3 linked regions of the Drosophila melanogaster genome follow. The protein of the gene in region 2 purifies or fractionates together with the protein of the main gene of each other region. This does not show direct contact. Each region holds a gene or a part of one and is shown on either strand. Other genes may lie near its edges. The genes, in order: Slu7, CG6171 and CG1532.

Evidence for each region.
Region 1: the proteins of CG6171 (region 2) and Slu7 purify together in Drosophila melanogaster (affinity purification with mass spectrometry, with the first as the bait; one large-scale study listed by BioGRID). This does not show direct contact.
Region 3: the proteins of CG6171 (region 2) and CG1532 purify together in Drosophila melanogaster (affinity purification with mass spectrometry, with the first as the bait; one large-scale study listed by BioGRID). This does not show direct contact.

The regions. Positions count from the first base shown.
Region 1 is NT_033777.3:29,036,932-29,040,687, forward strand, and holds Slu7 (Slu7), read right to left. Parts: upstream 2,141-3,756; 5' UTR 2,060-2,140; coding exon 1,459-2,059; intron 1,396-1,458; coding exon 1,167-1,395; intron 1,111-1,166; coding exon 927-1,110; intron 863-926; coding exon 152-862; 3' UTR 127-151; downstream 1-126. Other genes in the region: Cpsf100 (cleavage and polyadenylation specificity factor 100), read left to right, coding at 1-61.
Region 2 is NT_033777.3:15,362,164-15,365,842, forward strand, and holds CG6171 (uncharacterized protein), read right to left. Parts: upstream 1,695-3,679; 5' UTR 1,606-1,694; coding exon 1,214-1,605; intron 1,153-1,213; coding exon 989-1,152; coding exon of another isoform or gene 981-988; exon of another isoform or gene 935-980; coding exon 723-934; 3' UTR 633-722; downstream 1-632. Other genes in the region: Trax (translin associated factor X), read left to right, coding at 1-374, 425-608; CG34404 (uncharacterized protein), read right to left, coding at 2,281-2,413, 2,472-3,182, 3,244-3,545, 3,608-3,679. UniProt on the Drosophila melanogaster protein: Displays apurinic-apyrimidinic (AP) endonuclease and 3'-5' exonuclease activities in vitro.
Region 3 is NC_004354.4:21,026,657-21,030,412, reverse strand, and holds the start of CG1532 (uncharacterized protein), read left to right. Parts: upstream 1-2,051; 5' UTR 2,052-2,137; coding exon 2,138-2,233; intron 2,234-2,460; coding exon 2,461-2,510; intron 2,511-2,568; coding exon 2,569-2,675; intron 2,676-3,391; coding exon 3,392-3,756. Other genes in the region: CG1529 (uncharacterized protein), read left to right, coding at 1-156.

The sequences.
Region 1 (3,756 bases), about 14 Mb from region 2:
CTTATCCGAGGAGTACTACAAGATCAGGGAGTTGCTGTACGAGCAGTATGCGATCGTTTAATATTCAAAATGACGTTTGTGTAAGCCCCTAATGTTTTACTTGTTAAGATTAGAAAGTTTTTATATAAGAGAATCAGTTGTACTTTATTGCCTACATAAATTGCAGCATGGGATCTTCTGCCCTTGGCCGCTTCTTCTTCCACTCCTCGATCTCGTCCTCTGTGGGCGCCTTCACATCATACATGCTGTTATAGGCTCGTTTGCGATCGTCCAGTTCCTCGGGAATATCTTTTTCCTTTGTCTTATCTTTGTCCTTGGTCTCCTTGTTCTTGCCTTTTTGTTTTCGCTGCTCCTTAGCCTTCTTTTTCTTCTCGCGCTTCTTCGACTTCTTCTTGGTCTTCTTCTTCTCAGGTTTTACCTCCTCCTCTTCGGATGAGGAGGGTTCCGAACTCGATGCTGAGTCCACTTCGGAAGTGGGCCTTTCAGGTGGCACTTCTGGTACCTTGAATTGGCTTTGAGCTGCAGGTTCTGTAGTAGCCGCTGCAGTGGAGCTCGTAGAATGATGTTCCGAGTAGCCCTCTGGCTCCTGCATGCCCACGCAGTAGGAGTTCTTGATGAAGGACTTGCAGCACTTGTAACCCCAGCGTCCGGCGTTCCAGAAACTGCCCCAAACTGTTGTGTGATTGTTGATATACACATCCTCCTCGTAGATACTGCGCGCTTTCGGTTTCTCCACGCCCTTGATAACCTTGCCGCTGCGAGAGTACTCGATGTACTCCTCGGTCTGCGCCAGCAATAGCGACTTTGGTGGAACCTGTAGATGCTCTTCGCCACCATATTTCTCCACAATGTGTGTTTTGGTCTGGAAAAATAAAGGAAATGGATATAGTAATGTTTCCAAGAAATTTCCATTTTCAATTACTTACACTTGACTTGAACTGTTCCTTCTTCTGCTCGTACTCCTTCTGAAGCAGCTCCAACTTAGTGGGCTCCGCTAGCAGATGCACATCAACCCCCTTGCCATGAGCTTCCCAGGCAAACAACTGGGCGGTGGCTTGGGCTGTAGTGTCTCCAGAAAAGCGTACAAAGTTCTCGCCAGCAAACTCAGCTCTGCAAGAATGAGTAGTTAAGAAATTTCTTTATATGTGCAACTTTTTGTTACTCACTCCTCTTCGGGGACAGCAGGATTGGGATTGTCACGCATGGAGCGCGTCTTGGGATCATAGTAGGCCGAGTTGGGATCCAAGTTCCTCAGGTACTTCGCCGTATCCTCGCGGATACGCAAGTTGCGCACTGTAATTCGCTGTTTGGAGTCCACTTTTGTGCCGGGCATGTCCACTTCGTCCACATATTTGTCCTCGTTGCCTTCCTCATCGGATATTTCAGCATCGGGATCTAAGGGGTACATGCGAATGATATTAATTCAACTATAAGCACTCTGAATTCACTTTTACCTACCATTTTTCAGCTTCTCTGCTTTAAGTTGTCGCTTGGCCTCTTCCACCTTTTCGTACTCCTCAATGATCTCTCTGTGATTGGCCGGATCGTAACTACTCCAGCGATCTCGTTTCTCGTCATAGTTCACCGCCGCTTCATTGACCAAATGCTCGTCGTGCACGACGATGGATTCAGCGTACTTGGCTTGGACTTTCCGCGGCCGCTCCAGGCAGTCCTTTCGTTTGTGTGTGACGGCGCCACAGTTCTCGCAGGCTCCCTTGCGGAACTTGGTAATGATGCGTGCGGTGTTAAGTCCTTTGGGCGCCCTCTTGTCCAGCTGTCCTTGCTCGTCCTCGTGCTGCGGTCGCTGATGCTTGAGAGTGGGCCCAGCCGATCCGTAATACCATGGTGCATTCGATATGTACTGCGGAATGTGGGGATTTATGTCGCGACCCTCCTCGTCGACGGCGGCCGGAGCTGTTCCCGCTTTTCGAGCCTCCTCCAGCTCCTTGGCCTTGCGCCAGTCCTCACGGGACTTCTTCTTGGGTTCCTCCTCGGCATCCTGGTCGTGCTTGCTCAGAATGATCTGCGAGACCGGCGTGCGCATGGGCCCCGAGCTCATATTGCCTGATTTTATTTACTAGATAATATTAGTTGTAATATTTATTTCTCTTTTATGTTATCGGTTATCGAAAAGTGTTGGCAAGCAGAGAAGCACTTGGCTTAACAGCGAAAGTGTTGGACAATCTGTAGCACCCCCACGATATGTATCGCCCACCTTGGCACATCGCTAACGTTTTTCCAATAAGAATTGGAGTGAAGTGAACATTTTTATCAATAGTAATACGCGAAACAGTTTTAAAGCCAATAAGAAAACTACCCAGCAATGCAACGGAAAATGGTGGACACTGTGATTTTGTGAAACTGTTCGAATTCGTTGGAAAACCAAGGAAATTGCCTGGGAAAACCAATAAATTTATAACGCTGTGCAAACGGGTGCGTTTAACTGTGTGCGTGCGTGTGTGTATAAGCGCATACATATGTCGAGCGTGTGTGTGTGTGTGCTCTAGTGTGAAGGCATCCTTAATTTTTTCGCACACATAGCTGAACACTTTTTCTCTGATATACAAGTTCCTGCGCGCGCATATGAATTATTTTATTCTTTTTGTTTCATTGTTGATTGCAATATTTTCTGCCTATTTGGTGTCGTGCATACCCATTTCACATAAACATTGTAAGGAAGCGTTTCAATAACTTTTCATTTGAAACGTTAAACATTTTCTATATACCAACAGTAGAGAGAGCAAGAAAATAAGAGAGTGGTATATGTATATAAAATCCATCGATGGGACTTTCTAAATATTACTCCGTGTGTGGTGCTTGATTGTGAAGCGAAAAATGTCAGCGAAACGTGTATCTCATAGCCAAGCGGAGTGGTTAGCATACAATTTAAAAAACAATGAAATATAATATTTGAACTACGAACATAGTGCGCATTTCGTATGTTTACCAACACTGCGTTCGTTAGTGTCAAGCTGACAGGTGGACAGTACGGCAACTCTGCCAGCTGGAAGACCTTCGTTTTCACCAATTAGAAAATTACAAATTTTCCAATTGGACGGGTTAGTTTAGTTAATTGAGCGCACTTATTGGCGTTTCGTCAGGTGTTTCCAATTGGAGTGGGCGTGAGACGCGCGTGTATTGGTGGGTGGCAGAAGTGCAAGTGAGAGGCATCATTAGAAATTCTTGTTGTTCTCTCTTTGTTGTTTAATCTGTGGAAAAAAGCTGACTGCGTGTGTATGTGTGTGTGAAAGTGTGAGTATATTTGCCATACATGAACACAAAGAATTTGCATAAAAAAGTGAGCAAGCAATGGCAATATACATATGTAATCAAAGCTAAACGACACTGAAAGTACCCAAGATTGTGTGCGAAGAAAAAGGGCAACTAAGTATGTACTTGTTCCCACCAAATTGCCAATTAGAAAACGCGTTATATCCCAATTGGATGCGCATTAGACTAGTGGCGAGACTAGTGTACACTAAACAACAATCTGTGGAATTGCGAAATAAACAAAGTTGCACTCCTTGGAATGATTTATACGCTAGAAATATTACCATAGCAGATGATGGTCGCGCACTATTTTCGACTTTTGTTCCACGGACTGTTGTCGTTTGAGCGATTGCCTAATGTACACACACAAACGGGCTGAAACACAGTGGCAGCCAAAATAGTAGTGTTGAATAGTAAAAGATGAAAAGAATTGATATTTTTGTAAGCTACAGATTTTCGTTTTGCAAAAATGAATGTACATTTTTT
Region 2 (3,679 bases):
CGCAGCTCCTACTCTCCAGGATTGCAGGAGTTTATCGAGGCCTACACCTACATGGAGTACCTGTGCCACGAGGATGCTGAGGGCGAGAACGAAACCAAGAGCGTTTCAGATTGGCAGGCCATTCAGGCGGTGATGCAGTACGTCGAGGAGAGCAGCCAGCCAAAGGAAGAACCAACTGAAGGCGAAGATGTTCAGGCTATAGCTCAGGTTGAGAGCCCAAAGAAGTTCCAGTTTTTCGTAGACCCCACGGAATATATACTTGGACTTTCGGATCTTACTGGTGAACTGATGCGCCGCTGCATAAATTCGCTAGGCAGTGGAGATACAGACACCTGTTTGGACACCTGCAAGGCCCTGCAGCATTTCTACAGCGGGTTGGTTAGTTCTCCCTTAAGAAACTCAATTAACTTCCTATTGTTTTCAGTTACATCAGTCTAAACTGTCAGAGAGCCCGTGAACTATGGCGTAAGATCACTACCATGAAGCAGAGCGTTCTTAAGGCCGAGAATGTTTGCTACAATGTAAAAGTTCGCGGCGGAGAGGCTGCAAAATGGGGCGCCACTTTTGATCAAAAGCCAGCCGATGAAGTTGACGAGGGCTTCTACTAATGGAACTCCATAGACATAAGTTTTCATCAACAGAATATAATATATATATATAAAGCCTATTATTCGGCAAATGGAACGTATCATCTAAGTTAACAGCGAATTTGAATTTATAGTCTAATCATAGTCATCCCCACTTATTGGTTGGCTATCAAACTCCAGCTCATCATCCTCATCTTCGTTTATGTCTGCGCCTGGACGGTAGTCCGCATCCCTGTCATTGTCGCCACCAAAGGGTTCATCCTCCTCATCCGTCCCCGAGTCATCGTCGTTCTGCCGTTGGGCTCGCCGTTGACGCAGACGATTTCGAATGTTCTGCGCGGAATTGACTACAATGGGCTTTAGCCAATTTGAAGCCGAAGTATGCCAAGCCTTCTACTTACAATCCGCAGGATGGGAGTAATCCTGGAAGTGAACTGGGTTACGGCGATAGCATGCGTTACCGAAAGGACAAGCTGGAGTTCCGAGGGGTGGCGCTGGAAAGTTTGGTCGCCGGTAATCCTGATCCCCCGGATGAGCTTCTGCACTACGATGAGCTGGATTTCGCCTGTCATTGGAAAAAGGTATATTTTTAGTTGGTAATATGGGAGTTGGTTAGTGTGAATCACCTGTAGCATCGTATGCCGAAGCGACAAGAAGTCCTAATACTGCTTGAAGATACGGTAGACTCGTCGGCGGCGTCCTGTGCATTGCTATTAGTGGGCTCGGTTTTTACCATCGCAGCTGCAGGTGAGTTTCCATTGTCCGCTGGTTCGGCTTTAATCTTGATCGCAGGAGTAGTGCTTGTGGGCTCATCTGCATTCTCCACTGGCTCAGCTTTTATTTTCATAGGAACTTCAGGATTTGTTTCATCTTTAATGGACGCCACAGGCTCCTCCGATTTTACGCGCTTTCTTAGGCCGTTTTCTGCGCCAAAATTTGCGTTGCAATTGTGTGTGATATCTTCAGAAGATTTTCGTTTAGCGCCACTATCGGCTGTAGATGCATCTGTGGCACTCATTTTAAGTAAATTAAGTTAAATTTTCAAAACATTTTTATTTCACAAGTACTCATATACTTGATTCTGGTGATTTGCAACACTACACGAAATGGTGATGGATGCTTAAGTTAGTTTCATTAGCTTATCGATTAATTATTGGAGCCAATTTCAAATTCGTGAATTTTATCGAGTTTTAGTAGACGTTTTATATTTTGTACAGTTTTAAATACATATTGAATCATATAACAAGCAAAATGCGAATACATTGTATAAATATAGGATCCCGTGTATGCGTCTTGAATAACTCCTTAGTTTGTCTATTCGTATGTGTGTATATGTAATTGCTTGTGGCCCATAGACGGATGCTCCAATCCCACGGATCTATGGATAGGTTGGTGGAGCCTTGCTCATGGCACCTCTGAATATGTATGTATTTGAGTATGTAGTTACTGCAGCCTTATCTGCGAGGCAGGGACACCGCCCAAGCCCCAGCCGACTGCAATTAAGTCGCATGGCACATTCGTGATACTGTCTTGGTCATGGCGGATCCACGGCGACTGCTGGGCGGGTGGTCATTGCATTAAAGGTAAAATAAGCGATATGATCGAGAGGGAAAGATCTTTTGCGGGATATGTGACAAGCGCGCCCGCTCCACGCCCAGTTGCTCAGTCCTCCTGGAAGGTCGTCATGCGTTTCCTACAGAGTAGTCTCAGGAACATGGTTATGGCCTTGCTCGTAGTCCAGCCGCAGGTCAACAATCTTCTGCTCTAGCTTCCTCACCCGCAGCTGGTACTTGCGCTTGGTGTGATCTAACATTTGGCCCAGATTGCTAAAAGGGAAATATGAAGAAATTATGTATGAAACAGTCAAAATAAAACGAATCTTACTGGTTGGATTTCTGCAGTTCACGCACGTTCTGATGCAGTTGCTCGTATTTTTCGTCGAAGGCCTTCTGCGAAGCTGTTACATTTGCCAATAGCGTCTGTATGCGACCCTTGAGCTCCGTTTCTCGAGTTAAGGCCTCCACCAACTGCTGCTCTGTGAGAGCCGCATGCTCCGCCTCCGAATACGAGACCCGGTTGTTTGCCTGTAGCTGCTTTAGGGCTTCGTGGAGTATGCCCACTCGTTCGTTGGCGTTCTGCCGTTCCTGCTCGGCCTCTTCCATTTTTGTCTTCAGCTGCAAATTCGAATCCCGCAGCTCGAGTATTTCTTGCATAATCACTGCTGTCTCCAAGTCAATGGGTGACTTCTTGTCCGCGCTCCGAAGTTCGTGCTCCTTTTCCAAAGCCAGGCGCTTTCTTTCGTATATGTCGCTGAAGGGTGATTCCAAACTGACAATGGTATGCTGGACATTGGAACGACGTCCCTTCAGCTTGGAGACGTGGTAACGCAGGCGGTTGTCGTCGTCGGCACACCACGGGCGGCCAGTTTTTGGGGCATCCTCTGGGCCCAGGTTGATGTTGTGTTGCCACGGTCCCAGGCTGTTCTCACAAACGTTTTTCTCGCTATCCAAACGGGCTAGCAGGTGCCTGGCCACCGCCTCCACCGATCGTCGACTCTCTTCCGCTGCCACTGATTTCTCCCCCAGCAGTGCCAACCTGGAAGTGATGAATTGTGAAATAGGGACAACAACCCGCGTCTTATGGTGATTGTACTTACTTGCTTTCGAGCAGAGCCAACATTACGTCGTAGGCCTCGATGGCGCGATCACTGCAATTAAGCGCCAACTGAAGAGCAACCGCATTGGACTCGTACTTTCCGCATAGCAGATACAGATGCTCAGTGTGCTCCTTGCATTCGTCTAGCGTCAGTGCCAGCATGGTGTTTCGCATCTCCAATTGTTCAACACGTCGTTGCAGTCGCTCCAAGTCTTTGCTCAAATGTAGGGGCTCCATAAAGTTCTCCATATATAGATTTTGCTCCTTTAGCTCCGACACCAAATGTTCGACCAGATTAATTTGCTTAAAATTATGGGTTGTATGGGTTGAAATGTATTCTCTGAATAAAGTTTTGGTCAACACACCTCGTTGCTCAATGAAGTATCTTGGGATGGATCTTCTCCGGATTCATGTTTGCTGGCGCACCGCAACTTAAC
Region 3 (3,756 bases), on a different chromosome or scaffold from region 2:
GATCCGCTGGAGGCAAGTCAGTGCAAGCTAGAGCAGGAAGATGCACTCGATCCGGAATGGCAGCACAAAATAGAGCAGGACGCAGAATCGCAAGACTCGGCGCGACTGGAAGGGCATTTCCATGACTACAAACCTATCCCTTCGAAAGCCTTATGATCAACTATAACCTATCCATATACGTCCGGTTACATACATCAGGTTAGCGCCCCTTGAGCAAAAATCTTTGATTTGAGATATTTAGAAAACTGTTAAAGCTAGAGTTTTGAAAATTGCTTTTCATTCAAACGTTGAACAATTCTATAAATGTAAAATTTATATAGGATGCAGTTTCTTGTTTATAGATTTTTATTTAAGTAAAAAAAAAATCCATAAATGGGTTAATTAAAATTGGGTTATCAGGATAACGCCCCCTAAGATAATTTAAGTTGGTTCGATTCATTTCGAAAGAAATTGGGATGATTAACACTTAAATATTTAAATTAGAATATTTTTAAAGGAAATTATGGACTTCACACATTCGTCTGGAAAGGGAATCATATATTTTTTTTGTAGGTAATCCAAAGTAATCGCAGACCAATCGAGTTTTATTCCGGTGAACGATTCGTTTTGAGTGGCATATTGTTTACCACCCTCGTATACCTTCCTAGCCAACCATACCCACACGTTATCTATTATATAGTAGTAGTATGGTGGTAGTAGTATGGAATCCATGTTTTTGCCAAACGTGCAGTGTGGATTGAGACACTGTCAATTTGAAAATGTCATTCTAAATTTCCAAAAACGTTTCTAAAGTAGGGAAATGCAGTTTTGAATTATAATCTTTTGCGTTCATTTTTGGTGTTTAAAACTGCAATTTACCTATAACCCGACTGTGACAGCGATCCAAAATGTACGCAAATCATAATAGTAATGAAAAAAGCCGTCTGGTTTCTCCAGATTAAATTTCTTCTTGTCCGAAAATACGACGCCACTCCTTAGACCAAGTCAAATGAGCTCGAGCAAAACTCAGACCCGCTTTTTTTCGCAACTTATTGAGAGGTGGTTTTATTTTCAGTTTTTCGTGTTTTATGTTTAGCTGTCTTAATCACCATTTGAATCAAAGATTTGATCTGGTTTTCAACACTTTTTCTCGAATTTTGGCGGAGAAGTCGTGGGAATTGGGAGGTATTCGAAGTATGGACCTGCGATCTGCCGCGGTAAAGACAAGGTTATTGCCACCATTATTTTTTTTTTCCATAAGTTTCGTTCTTTTGAATAAAGTTTATTATAGGGTTGCGACATCTGGCGGGTTTTCTGAAATTTTATGATTATGAGCATTAATAGAATGCTATGATATTGTATATTTCCTGCAGGGATAACAGGGTTCCTCTTAAAGCAAACTTTTCAATTCAACAGCATAACAAATTTTGTTGTCCTTACCTTAGGACCTTTTTTTTATCCTCAAGGAGAGAGGGAATGTCAGTGAACAAAAAACAACAACATTGATGAATTTTCGTGCAATGGCAAAACCAGAAAATAAAAATGAACGGAGCCATGCAGGGGGCGCTAATCTGATGACGCGTAGTGTATATCCAATGAACTATCATGCAAATGTGGCTAGGACGCATTAGCGAAAATTTTTAAATATCTTACTTTCACGACATTTTATCCTTGCTACTACAATGTATTAAATAGTTTTATATGTTCGCTTACTTCGTATTTTATACGTTTTATATGCTCGCTTACTCCATATTTTAAGTGCCTAATAAAACTGTTGACGATAATTGCTTTTCATGGAAGGACTTTTGTGACAACATTTTGGATATACTCTTTTTTTAAAGTGTATTTGTCAAGTGTAAAATTTTGTGTCACAAAAGGTAAATTCCGATATTCGTTTTTTGAAGGTGCGATAGTCATTAGTTTTTTCCTCGTAGATGTCAATCAGCAAAAAGCGCACTTTATAATTTAAAACTTACAGTGTATTTAAATTTATTATTATTTAGTCTAAACTAAAAAATATCGATACTTCCAAAAGCTCCCGTCGCTGGGAATATTTGCTGTTCTGCGCACGGCCACACTGAAACGGAATGTACATAAACAAGGCCGAAATTCGATCGGAAAGCACTTGCTGAATAAACGCCAGCTGATAAACACAAAGATGTCGGCCATATCGGGACGCGCCCTGCACTATGTGTTCAAAATCGGAGATCGGGCGAAAAACGCCTTCTTCTTTCGGCAAATCTTGGGAATGACGGTAAGCTGGGTGTGGCGGGCGTATCGCCAGAAATCGGCAGACTTCCTTATCGCAGGCTGTTGTGTCTGGCTGTAGTTTTATCTGGACAACGTGTCAACGACGCGCGGCTGCTAATTAAAAAGCCCAGATGCCCGATAATGTCATATAATGACTGTGTTAAAATTTCATTTTTCTCTCATCGTTTTTGCTCCCTTCTATCGCCATCCCGCTCGTTCGCACGGCAACAGGTGCTGCGGCATGAGGAGTTCAAGGAGGGATGCGACGCAGCTTGCAACGGGTGAGTGCTATTTCGGAGTGTTGCGACAGGACTAACTGGTAGTGTTAATCCTTCACAGGCCCTATGACAATCGGTGGAGCAAAACAATGGTGGGTTATGGACCCGAAAGTTCGCATTTCGTCATCGAACTCACGTATAACTATGGAGTGAGCAGCTACGAAATGGGTAAGACACATACCGGATAAAAATGTTAGGCTCACATGAGGATTAAAAGTCCTGAGTGCAAGCTAACAAGCGGGAACGTTTTAACCCTTACAGCGGCTAAGTAATATCATCCTAAAATACCTATTTATTTTATCAGGCATTAAAGCGTTTTTAATAAGAATTGAGAGTTGAAAAAGTTTGAAACTTCAGTGATGGTAGGCTAAATCGCATATTTAAGCTTTGAGCAGTCATATGTACACATTTCTGGAAATTTGAAAAAATGTACAACCCTATAAATGATTACCGAGTTATAATCCAAAATATTTAATCTAACACTAGTAAAATTGGGATGGCTTATCTTAAAGTACAAATGAGTTATTCTATCTTCGACAACTTCATAATTAAGTGTTTCACTAATAATAGCTATTCGATAAGTGACTTGTCTTAAGTACGTAAAGATAGTAGGTTATTAATCTTTTTCTTTATGAATACGGAAATAGTTATCTATAAGTAGGTCGAAATCTATCAGTCATTCTAGTTAAAACCGCGATGAAGATTTCTGTCTATCACAAAATGAACTAAAAACGAAAGTATGTGAGTTGAATGTTTGAAGATGTTTGAAAAAGTACAGTACAGTAATTGAAATATACTACTTAATGATTCCCTTTGTATTAATTCCCAAGTTAATTTTAACACTTATAAATCCTGTTAATCGATACTTATTCTTTTCGATTCAGGCAATGATTTTGGGGGCGTGACCATACACTCCAAGGATATCCTTTCCCGCGCCGCCGAGCACTCGTATCCTGTGACACAGGTGTCTGGAAAAGCCGGTAGTCTGCTGACCTCGCCCGATGGCTACAAGTTCTATGTGATCGATCAGGCCTCTGCCAGCTCTGATCCTGTCCAATCGGTGGAGCTTAATGTGAGCAATCTTCAAAACTCGCGCAAATACTGGCACGATTTGCTGCAACTGAAAGTTCTCGAGGAGAACGAAGCAAGCGTGCGTTTGAGTTACGGTGAACAGCAGGCTTCACTGGAGATCACCCAGATCTCAGAGCCAATTAATAGAGCTAAGGCCTATGGACGAATCGCCTTTGCC